3 linked regions of the Macaca mulatta genome follow. The protein of the gene in region 2 interacts with the protein of the main gene of each other region in a pairwise test. Links are inferred from orthologs where the notes say so. Each region holds a gene or a part of one and is shown on either strand. Other genes may lie near its edges. The genes, in order: ZDHHC22, TRIM59 and NRM.

Region 1 (3,646 bases), on a different chromosome or scaffold from region 2:
GGATGAGGACAAGAGGAGGCTGCTAATGAGAGAATCTGAATCAGATCCACATCCTCCCTGACTGCTGAGTCCACCACTGCTCATACTGGACAAGTGTTGAAAGACCAGTTCCCAGGACTTTGGAAATTGGAGGCTGGAGAGACTTGGGAAGAGGTGGGCTGGGGCAAGAGAAGGCGAGGGAAAGGGCAAAATATGGTTGAGATTTTCAGGGGCAGAATAGGTTGTAAGGTGGAGTCCTTAGAGGAGATACCCCCACCCCACCAGAGGAGGTGATAGGGTTGCCCTACAGGGAGCCAAGGGCTAAGGAGGACTTTCGAATTAACTCCAGGGTCCAGTGCCCTGGCTGCTGGGCAGATCAATGTAAGTGTCTTTGCCACAGCTGCCAAAGTTGCAGCCCAGCCAGGACTCTAAGCCCTGAAAAGGAGAAGGAGAAAGCTTGATAGTTTCAGGAGTTAAACTTGAACTCATTTTGGATGTAGTCTCCTGCTCTGTAAACATGACCCTCTGCTGGGAGCACCACAGTGAGTGTGAACGGGGATGCTGACCACTCTGTACATCATTTTCTTGAATCATGCAGCTGAATGAAATCGTTAGTATTATTGTACCCATTGTACAGATGAGTGAACTTCAACTGAGAGGTTGGGACACTTGTGTAAGTCCACACAGCTGGGAGACTCAAACCTAGCATGGACCAGCCATCCAAACTCTGAGGAAGAGTGTGGGAGCTGTTACTCAGTGATTATTTCAAACCAGTAAGAGGAAGTGCTTGGTTTAGAGGGATTCTGGGGAGATCCTGCCCCACGACACAGGGCCAATGACCTTGGGGGCCTCTTTTAGCAAGATTTGATTGACAGAACCAGCTCTGGTGGAATGCTGTGGTGGCCACACTGTCCTCTTGTTAACATTAATGACTGAATTATTCTCTACGTTGGTGCTCTGGGCTGCTCTTGAGACTAAGCTCATGACTTATTCTTCCCAGTTCTCCATCATGCTGTCATTTTCCTGAGTCCTCTCAACTAGCGCTCCCAGGACAGTATAGAGAAGGTGCTGCGGTCTAGACATCTGCCCAGACACCCGCTCCCTCTTTAGGGTCCTCAGCTCACCCCTCTCTCCTCCTGAGCAAAACCCCTTCACCCTGCTTCCAGCCCAAAAGGAGAAAACAGAGAAAGACAGGCATCTCCGACTCTACAGAAATGTTATCAGCGGCCAGATGCTGCCCCAGGAGCTGAGGGCTCTCCTTGCTAAGCTCATCAAACTTAGCTGTTTTCGCCAGGTCTCCAGTTTTCCCCTCTTGCCTCAGGTGCCATCTGCACCAAGAAAAAGTTAGGGCAGCTGGTTCTTCCTTCCTCTCCCTCACTGCAGCTGCAGCGCTGAGGTTGCTACAAAATGTAGTGTCAATCTCATTAATCTCCCTCCCTCCCAGTGGAAAGCCTGCCTAGATCACAGTTCTGCAGGTGGCCTGGGTGTAAAGCGGCTCTGGTGTTTCCCCTCCCGTTGCCCTGCAGGAGCTGTCCTGGGTTCTGAAATGTTCGTCATCCTCATGCTCTACCTCTGGTTCGCCATCGGCCTGGCCTGCGCTGGCTTCTGCTGCCACCAGCTGCTGTTGATCCTCCGCGGGCAGACCCGCCACCAGGTGCGGAAGGGGGTGGCAGTGAGGGCCCGGCCCTGGCGCAAGAACCTACAAGAGGTCTTCGGAAAGAGGTGGCTGCTGGGCCTGCTGGTCCCCATGTTCAATGTCGGAAGTGAGAGCTCCAAGCAGCAGGATAAGTAGCAGACACTCCCGTCATTTATCTCTCTCTCTCTCTGTCTTGACTCCTCCTGAGCATAAAACCATGGCAGCCTTGTCTCCACCCATGACCCACTACAACCTTGTGCTGGTAAGGTCCTAGCATCTTCCCCCCGCCTTCCACCCATGAGAACAGTGTGGGCTGGTGGATTATGACAAGGAGGAAAAACGTCCCCCCAGGCATTTCTAGGCTCCTCACGAGCCAGCCAGGTGGCTGCTAGCCGTTAGACTGCCTCTGCTTTCGTTCCTTCCCCTTGGGATCCCTGCTTTCCCCCTCTTCCTGGCTCATCCATTCTCCACCAGGTCTCATTCATCACTGCTGTCTGCTAGAGCCCTTCCTCTCAGCCTCCATGTTGGGAGAGGGGAGTGGATTCTTGCTGCTGGTATGAAACTCCCTGGGACCTAGAGGCTGGCAAATGTTTAAAATCACCATGTGTAAGAGGCAGCCAAGTCAGCTCTGCCAACAGCTAGGGGAGTTGGGAAAGAGTGGGTGTGTGTCTGCATCCCCTCTGTAGGAAAAAGAACTCAGTAGCTTGCTGCTCCCTCACCCCACCCTCCAGGTTCAAGACCCTTTCTCTGGGAGACAGAAGTCAATGGCCTGCTTTTTCCAAATGCTATTCCCTGTCCATCCTGCCCCATCTGGCCAGCCCAGCCCAGTCCAGGACCTGGCTGGATGCTTCGTCTCCCTGGAACTCTTCCAGCCTTTCTACTTGATCTCCAGCCCCCAGGTCTTTGCCAGATGATGGGAAGGCAAGGAAGAAGGGACAGGGAAAGAGAATTACTGATAAAGGAAGGGGGTATTCGACTGTATAACCATATGGAACTCTGTGTGTGTGTGTGTGTGTGTGTGTGTGTGTGTGTGTGTGTGTGTGTGTGTGTGTGAGAGAGAGAGAGAGAGAGAGAGATGGATGGTGGTGAGAAGTGTTGTTAGAAACATATAGGAATAATGCCTAGGGGAAAGGGAGAAGTGAGAGGGACAATTGGGTTCATTTATGCCCTATACAAAGGGCATTCCAGCAGCTGAAACTTTTCAGTGTTTGAACGGCTGCCTGTGAAGGTAGTGAGTGCCCCATCACTAGAGGTATTCCAGCAGAGTCTAGGCAATCGTCTGCCGGCATGCTGTGGAAGAGATTTCTGCACAGGGTCATTCTAGGTGAGCTTACACATTCCTTCCAACCCCAAGGTTCTGGTGTCCTGGTTGTGACTGCTGGACCCAGAGGCAAGATCTGCGGAGATGCCTGTGAGATATTTGCTTTCCTGGAGGGGAGTGTGGGCATGGGAGGGGTCTGAAGATCAGTACCCAACCCAGCCACTGAAGAGAGAGTCTATGCAGAGACAGGGCTACCTGGGTGGTTGCGGGGACTGACATTTGAGGACAGGGAGATGGAGCCGTGTCATTGTCAGTGGCAGGGCATGGGGGGCAGTGGTGAGTTAAGGCTGGGGAGTGGAGATGACCGGAATATAAGGGTGCAATTCCCAGACCATCCCTGCGCATCTGACTGACTCCAGTGGAGGCACTACTGTGTGTTTTCTGAAACCCAGAGGACCAGACCCCTGGGGCATATAAGGGAGGAGGGACAACACAAGTGCCCCCTCCTGACTGGGTCCCAAAGCCAGTATGACATCCATGCAGGCAGTAGTGCTGAATCCACGCCCTGCAATGCCCAACCGCCGACCACAGGGATCTGCTGATAGCTGCACAACACCCTGGGTTCTTGAGCAGAGACTGGGAGGACTTTACTGTGGTTCTGCCTTCACGCCCCCTAGACAGCTAATGTAGTACTCGACCTGCTCATACTTCTCCCTCCCATATTCATTCATTCATTCATCCATCCTACATATATTTACTGAATGCCAACT
Region 2 (3,746 bases):
TATTCTGAGCCTTGAGAGGAATGTGGCTACAGCCTGAGCCAAGCAGCAGGCATCTGCACCGTCTGCCTTTTGTTTCTGTAAATAATTAAAATCGGAGGAGCAAACCATACCAGAGATACAACCCCCTGAGATCACTACCCGTCCTCACGGAGTAACGAAGTACTCTTTCTTGGAATGTAGCAATCTGTAACCTACCAAATAGCTGTAAGTATGTACTGGTCTCTTACGGAAAATGAAATCCTGCTAAAATTTGTCTCTGGCCACCTAGGTGAAACCTTAACTTCTTCACTTTGGAATGCTGACCCCATTTGGAGCTGGTGTCTCCTGGGTGGCTACCCTCAAGCTTTACGCTGGAATAAACTCTTATCCTTAATCATATTTCCTGAACCTATTTAAGGTCGACAGGAGAGGGAAGCGGAGATGTCTTGAGATAAAGCTGAATAAAGTTTCTCAAGAAAAAAGGGAAAGAGACCTCTGAGCTGTAAGTTGTTTTCTAACTCTAGGGAGTTAGAGGTGAAGTAGGAACCTGAAGTTGGAAGTGCTGAGTTGGACAGCCCTCATCTCTAGGCAATACTTTAGTAAAGTGGAAAAACGGGAGAAGACGACGAAGGCTAGGGAGAGATGCACCCAACCCAGTCCCGGGTTTCCCACTCGCTCTCGGAGTTGGGTACAAAGAGTGTTCCAAAACCCCTTCTCCTGTGCTCAGCCCAGTGCTCCGGTGGGTCAGGTCTCCGGAACGCGTAAACAAAAGCAAACAGCTGAGCGGCGGAGGGCGCTGGCGACAGGTGTGGGTGTGCCCTGAGGATGCGTGGCGACTTCCCGGAGCAGCGGGTCTGTGTGGCAACGATGGAAGACACTGCATTCCACAGCATAGCAGCAGGCCCTGCCCTGGATGGCTCCAAGTAAAAGACAGTTCCCCAGAAGCCGTCGGCCGCCGGCGATTCGCCTCCTCCCGCGCCAGACCCCGCCTCTCCCCCAGACTACCGGTGCCATCCAGATGCCCCAGGCGGGACCCCAGCTCACGAAGCCCACTGGCCGAAGCTCCCCACAGGCTAGAGAGCCGCTCCTTCGAGGCCAAACGTCCGAGAGGCGGCCTGCGCCTAGCACGCAGGCGTGGAAAGCTAGGCGCCAGCCTCGATCTGACCGCCGCCACCTGCCTCGAGCCGCGCCGTCCGCCGTTTACTTTCGAACGAGCCCAGCAATAGTTCCCATTGGCCGATGCCGCGCAGTTGAAAGCTGCCTGCAGACTGCGCCTGCGCCGCGAGGCTCCGGGCGGCCCCGCCCGGCCTGGGCACCTGAAGCCCTTCGGGGCGGAGGAGGGCGGGGACTCGGGGCGACTCTCAGCATCAGCCAGGAGCCGGTGGCTCTCTGTTTCGGCGCTGTGGAGTCGCCTACTCCGCCTCCTCCCCGCGGTGAGTCTAAGGACCTTTACGGATCCGAGAAGGTGGCTCTGAGTCCTTTTTCTTTTCCTGTAGCACAGGCTGGTGTTCCAGTGTGTTTGCTGGGGAGTCCTGGGGGCGTGACGATGGAGGGAGTGGCTTGGGACCTGCATTCATTCCCACTTGTCCCACACTGGAGTTTGGGGAACCATTCTCCCGTCTCTCCACTGTGGAGCTGCGTTCCTGTGAGGGAGGAGGCGCTCTGTGGTGGCCAGGGTGAGCTGGGCCAGGCCGAGTCGGTCAGCCCCGCGGGGCTTGGGGTCGGGCGGTTGCGGAGGCGGAGGCGCTTTAGGAGGGAGGCCTGGGAGAGTGGAGCTTTCAGAGGGGGAGGGGAAGAGTACTGCCATTTTGAGCCCCTTTGTGGGAGGTGCTCGTAGGACTTAGGTGGGATAGGTGCAGTTACCCATTTTACAGATGTGAAGCCTCACTTTTGAGAGATATTTGATAATACTGACTCAGGTACCACAGCATTGAAATGGCAGAACAGAGAGATGAGCAAACTATACTAAATCAGTTACAATTTTGAGCTGGCAAAGTATTTTACTCCCATGGATGCTTTTGTCTTGCAGTTAATTTTAAGCACTCTAAATGACCGTGAATGTTTTTTCTGCCATCGCCGTTGGTGGGTCATATTGTCGAGAGCTCATAAGCTACTTGACGTTGTAAAGAGGTCCTTTGTGACCATCTGTTTGGTCAGAGTTCGGATTTTCAAGGAACAAGCGATACCTCTACTGCAGCTCCAGCAACTGTGTTGGTGTTTGTGACTTTTTGGAAAACACAGTGAAGCATAGTGAAGATAAACATCAAAGACAGTGAACTAACAACCATTTTTATGACATGAGACAATAAATTGAAAGCATTAAGGATAACATTATTTTAATTTTAGAATAAGAATAAAAGATTCTGGAGGAGTTGGAGAGAGTGTATTCAGTCCCCAAACCAGGAGATCAACAAAGTAGGTAAGTTCTGGGAGATTAAGTAAATATGAAAAACATTTTAACTGAGTTTTTCCAGAGTGTATCATTTAAACTATAAAGTGAAATTTAGAAGTCTTTTGAAAAAACATTATGTTGATGGTGTATCAAATTCCAACCATCTTACCGAAGGAGCGGAGCATAAAGTGAAAAACAGCTTCCTTTTCCGATCTGTACCTTAAAGGTAGTCACTCAACTCTTTCGTACATCCTTCTAGAAATTTTACAAGAATGTGTACATCTCAAAACACATGCAAAGCTGTTATTTTAGACATACAGATCTGCAGAACTACACAAAACTGCAAATTAAGTTACCTGGATACTTCTTCACTATGCATTCATATATTGGTCTTTTTAAATGAGTAAGTAGCTATTTAATCTGGCAAGGTGAAATTTTGATTTTAGGTAATGTTAGTTTTGACATTGCCTTTCACCAAACACGTTGATGACTATTTCCCACCAGATATATTTTTACTTTGAAAAGTATAACAAAAGTAATTAAAGCCTTAACTTCTCAAGTCAGTTCCTGGTTAAATTGAATTAAGTCTTTTTTTGTTTTGTTTTTAGTTTTTTTATTTTTTTAGTTTAGGAAAACAGGTTGATATCAAAATGAAATAAAATAGTACAGATGGACAAAGAGAGTTAAAATCAGCTGACCATAGGATTTTTTTTTTAATTTGAAAAAGTTAAGGTGATCTCTCATTATTTTTGTATATTTATATGTGGCAGAATTATTTTTAAAAATCTTGTTTCTCAAACTTTCCGCAACAGTGTTAAAAAAAAAAAAATCTTATATATGTATATAAATGATGAAGTTGTAGTTATTTCTTAAGTAAGTCTTCGATTGCATGAAATGTATTTCTTCTTTATCAGTTAGGGCCACAAAGATGTGAGCCCCAATTTGGGTGGTGGCACCACTTGAATTTTTCTATACTTAAAGCTGACTCACTAGAAGTCATGGGGCAAGTCATCGAATTCTATAATGTAGTAAAAATATTTTCGTTTCAGAGGCTGTGAAATGTAATGAATGTTTTACAACTGTTCATGTTTAGAGTTGAAAGGCAGGAAAGCATTAGTGAATTAAAGCTTAAAAACTGGTTTACACAAGAGAATGGGTAATGATATTTTTGGTGCTATTTTATCATCTGTTATACTATCTATTACCTAATATGCCAGTTAGACATCAGGGAGGCTCCCTAGTGAATTGGTCCTCTGGAGAAAGACTTAATAAAAAGTGTGGAAATTCAGAAATGTATTTGTTTTGACACTTAAACACAAGATGTTAGTGAAATAATTTGTCAGTAGAGTGATTTAGCCTCAGATTTCTTTGAGAA
Region 3 (3,746 bases), on a different chromosome or scaffold from region 2:
TTTCTTTGTAGTTGGGCCCGGAGGTAGCGGAGGTCTTGCTGATCAAGCCCATGAGCCAGGCCCAGGTAGAGGGTAAGGAGGAGAGCAAGGAGGAGACGGTCCATGCCCAGGGTAGGCACCACCCACAGCACTGTCAGCAGCTCCACACACACTGGGTGGCGCAGGTGAGAGAAAAGTCTGAGAGCCCGGGGAGACTTCAGGGCCAGAGGCTCGCCCAGCCCCAGCACATGGTAGTATACCTAAGAGGGAGAAGAGTTTAGAAATTGAGTCAAGCCCTTTTCTCAGCTTGGGCGCTTCTTTCCTCCTCTTCCAGGCACCAGCCTTCTAGAACTCAGGCCCAGGAACCCCTCTTCTGAGACTTGGATCCCTGATCCTGACTTATGATCCATGTACCTTCCCCAGGCCCAGGAGGCCCATGGTTGCTGTCCTTCTGAGGGAAGGGTCATGAGGGAGAATCAAGGAGACAGTAGAAGAGCATGGGAGGAGGGAAACCCTTGAAAGGGAAAGAGTAGTTCTAAAACGGGTCAGAGGTCGTAGGTAGGGATCTCAGAGCCTCACCTGTTTGAGGCCCATGAGCTCAGCATAGTCAAAGACGAGAAGGATGCTGAAGATGAGAAGCCAGGAGATGACATGGAGCACAAAGCACAGGAGGGGCACCCAGGTGGCCCATGGCTCAGCCTGAGCTTCCCACAACACGGGGCCTCGGGGTACGGGCTCCCAGTACCGCATCACCAGCTGTGGAAGGATAAGGGGCTTCGTATCCCAGTGCCCTACCCTGCCCGACCTTGGGAGACCCGGATCCAGAGCTGCCCCCACCACAGGCTAGCCTGCAACTCTCCCCCACCTCTCACCTAAGCATCACCACCAAATATTCACCATGTGGAGGGTGCATGCTGGGTGAGGTCCCAAAGATGTAAGGATGGCCTGTCTCCACCCTGAGAATTTACAGAACAGATGGGGTGACCTGATAGCTACACAAAGTAGTAGCCTATGCCAACCACCCAATGAGAAGACAGACAAGGCCTCTTCAGACCTAGGGAAGTGGTTTTGAAGAAAGGGTAGGACTGAAGAGAAGGAAGGGATCTCAAGCAGGACATGAACAAAGTTGCAAAGGTGAGAATGCACGTATTGTGCTTGGGGAAGGACAAGTACACCCTTCTTGATAAAAACTAGGGTATGTGCTGTGGAGGAATGGAAGCTGAGATTAGTTCCTCAGTTCTCCTCCTGAACCCATATTTTGCCCCTCCAATCCAGGGCACCCCTCCCACACTTGGTCTCCCTTAGGGACTTCATACCTGCAAGGCCAGGGCCTCATACCTGCAAGGCCAGGGCAGTGCAGGCCACATACAGTGACCTCTGAAGGACCCCAAAGTACCGGGATGTCCATGCCTTCACTCTTTCAGCTGCCATGAGGCTGTGCTGCCCAACAAATAGAAGTAGGAGTCCCAGATCCCATGCCAGGGGGGCAAGGATGCTGCGGTCCTGCAGGGCAGCCAGCCATCCCTGGCGGGCATCTACAGGAAGTTGAGGGAGAAAGAGACAAAAGATCGAAAAGGTGGCAAATGTTTCCCCCATCCTCATCTCCTTTTGGAGCCCCAGGCCATGTCCCTACTGCTTTCAAGAGCCTTAATGCTTCCTCTCTAGGCTGTGCCCATCTCACTTTTCCATTCCTAGTTTCTGCCCTCTTCCCTAGGCCTCCTGCAAACCTAGGGGAGAGGATTTATAGAACAACGCATGTTAGGCAGTTGCAAAAAGCATGGCTGGAGAGGCCACCGCTGGATTGCCCCTCTTATTTCGGTTCTCCAAATGCTCCTTCTTTTTAACACTCTCAACAGCCCTCTCTACAAAACATTTTACTTAGAATACTCTGGTTATCGCCCTTTTCGGCTCCCTCAGTCCTCACTCTCCCACCTCTCCAAAACTGTAATCCTTGAGTTCCTAATTTAGAACTCAGGTCTCCCTCCCCTGTAGCTTCTCGGCCGCTTTCAAGATTCGAGTTCCCTCTCTGGGACTTCCCCTGTCATTTGTTTCCAAGCCCCGCCCTCGATCCCTCTCCTACGGCTCCACCTTCCTACTCCCAGTTCATCCCCGATCCCTCCCGCTCACCCGGACCACCAGACTCCGGGATCCCTCCAAGAAGTGGCCGAAGGGAGGTAAAGCGCACGAACTCCACTCCGGTACCAAAGGCCAGGATGAAAGAGGCGAGGGCAGCAGGGACCAGGAGCAGTGCAGGGGCCATGGCGAGAAATGGAGGGGTGGGGAAAGGGGCGGGGTCGGGATTCCCGCTGCCTCAGGCCCCGCCCCCGCCCGAATCCAGCCCAGGAAGGCGGGGCTCCTGCACGCCACCGCCCGGCTTCCGGCCCGCCGGGCGCAGCCTTCCCCACCCAGCTGTGGATCCGTCCCGGGATGCGTGTCCCAGCCTGCGGTCTCTCCGTCACGGAAGGGAATGTTAGAATCCCGAGAGAGAGCTGTTAAGGGTAGCGGCTCTGCAGCCGCTTACGTGGGTTAAATCTCAGCTCGTCTAGTTTAACCATCCAAAATTAAAAGTTACTATTTTACCACAAAATACATTAATGTATGGAATACATTGTACAGAATACACTGTACAGAATAAATTCTGTAACTTACTATAAAGTTGAGTTGTTGATTGGCTAGTTGCTAAGAAGGGCAGATAACTTCTCTGTAAATACTGAAAGGTTTGTTGTAATAGTGCCAGAGATTGCTGATTTGTAACCACGAGAGTAAAAATGTTAAAATGTTTGTGATAGTAACCTTTGTCAGAATTAAAGATCATGCAGCTAAGGACCTTGTCGCAGTAGCTGTGCACATAGTAGGGACCTTAGATATCATTAGACTAATTCCATCAACTTATAGATAGAATAAACAGGTCCAGAGAGATAATTGCCTGTTAGGAAGCTGCTAATCCTGTAGGCTAAGGGACCAGAAAACTGCTGAGCAGCCTCTCGCAGGCTTTACATTCCTTCTCCCTCTCCTGGGCTCAGTACTCCCACCCTCCTCTGAATGAATGCTGTTGTATGCTGTACCAGACATCATATGTTTTCCCTTGAATTCAGTCTCCACCCTGCTTTCTGCTTCAGGAAGTTGTCCCAAATGGACGGTATCAATGAAAGTCACAGTTTTTATTGAGAAAGTCCTCTTTACACGACTGCTCCACCCTCATCTTTTTGAGCTTGGAGGTGATCACAATAGAGCTGTGGGTACTAAGGCACTGCACTATGCTTTCTGATTTCCCTACACCCTGCCTACTTCTTTGTAATTATCATTTTATTAAACTCTTCCCCAAATTATCCTAATTTGACTGTGCTATTCATTTCCTGCTAGGACCACAAATAGAGACACTTACCACACAAAGCAATGTGCTACAAGCTGTGGGGTTCATTGGAAGTGTAAGAGGCCAGACGCAGTGGCTTACACCTGTAATCCCAGCACTTTGGAATCGCTTGAACCCGGGAGGTGGGAGTTGTGATAAGCTGAGATCTCGCCACTGGACTCCAGCCTGGGTGACAGAGTAAAACTCTGTCTCAAACAAAAAAAAAAAAAAAAAAAAAGGAGGCTGGATGCAGTGGCTCACGCCTGTAATTCCAGCACTATGGGAGGCCTAGGCGGGTGGATTACAAGGTCAGGGGTTCGAGACCAGCCTGACAAACATGGTGAAACCCTGTCTCTACTAAAAATACAAAAATTAACTGGGTGTGGTGGCACACGCCTGTAGTCCCAGCTACATG

The links.
Region 1: the proteins of TRIM59 (region 2) and ZDHHC22 interact in binary tests that used the Homo sapiens proteins (3 or more experiments, as listed by UniProt). The link is inferred for Macaca mulatta from reciprocal best matches to the Homo sapiens genes TRIM59 and ZDHHC22.
Region 3: the proteins of TRIM59 (region 2) and NRM interact in binary tests that used the Homo sapiens proteins (3 or more experiments, as listed by UniProt). The two-hybrid records come from large-scale screens. The link is inferred for Macaca mulatta from reciprocal best matches to the Homo sapiens genes TRIM59 and NRM.

Annotation. Positions count from the first base shown.
Region 1 is NC_133412.1:150,341,383-150,345,028, reverse strand, and holds part of ZDHHC22 (palmitoyltransferase ZDHHC22), read left to right. Parts: intron 1-1,505; coding exon 1,506-1,771; 3' UTR 1,772-3,646. UniProt on the Homo sapiens protein: Palmitoyltransferase that could catalyze the addition of palmitate onto various protein substrates and be involved in a variety of cellular processes. Catalyzes the palmitoylation of KCNMA1, regulating localization of KCNMA1 to the plasma membrane.
Region 2 is NC_133407.1:63,617,001-63,620,746, reverse strand, and holds the start of TRIM59 (tripartite motif-containing protein 59), read left to right. Parts: upstream 1-1,325; 5' UTR 1,326-1,412; intron 1,413-1,589; exon of another isoform or gene 1,590-1,655; intron 1,656-2,325; 5' UTR 2,326-2,398; intron 2,399-3,746. UniProt on the Homo sapiens protein: E3 ubiquitin ligase involved in different processes such as development and immune response. Serves as a negative regulator for innate immune signaling pathways by suppressing RLR-induced activation of IRF3/7 and NF-kappa-B via interaction with adapter ECSIT.
Region 3 is NC_133409.1:152,354,315-152,358,060, reverse strand, and holds the start of NRM (nurim), read right to left. Parts: upstream 2,240-3,746; coding exon 2,107-2,239; intron 1,515-2,106; coding exon 1,318-1,514; coding exon of another isoform or gene 1,312-1,317; exon of another isoform or gene 1,296-1,311; intron 754-1,295; coding exon of another isoform or gene 736-753; coding exon 559-735; intron 240-558; coding exon 1-239.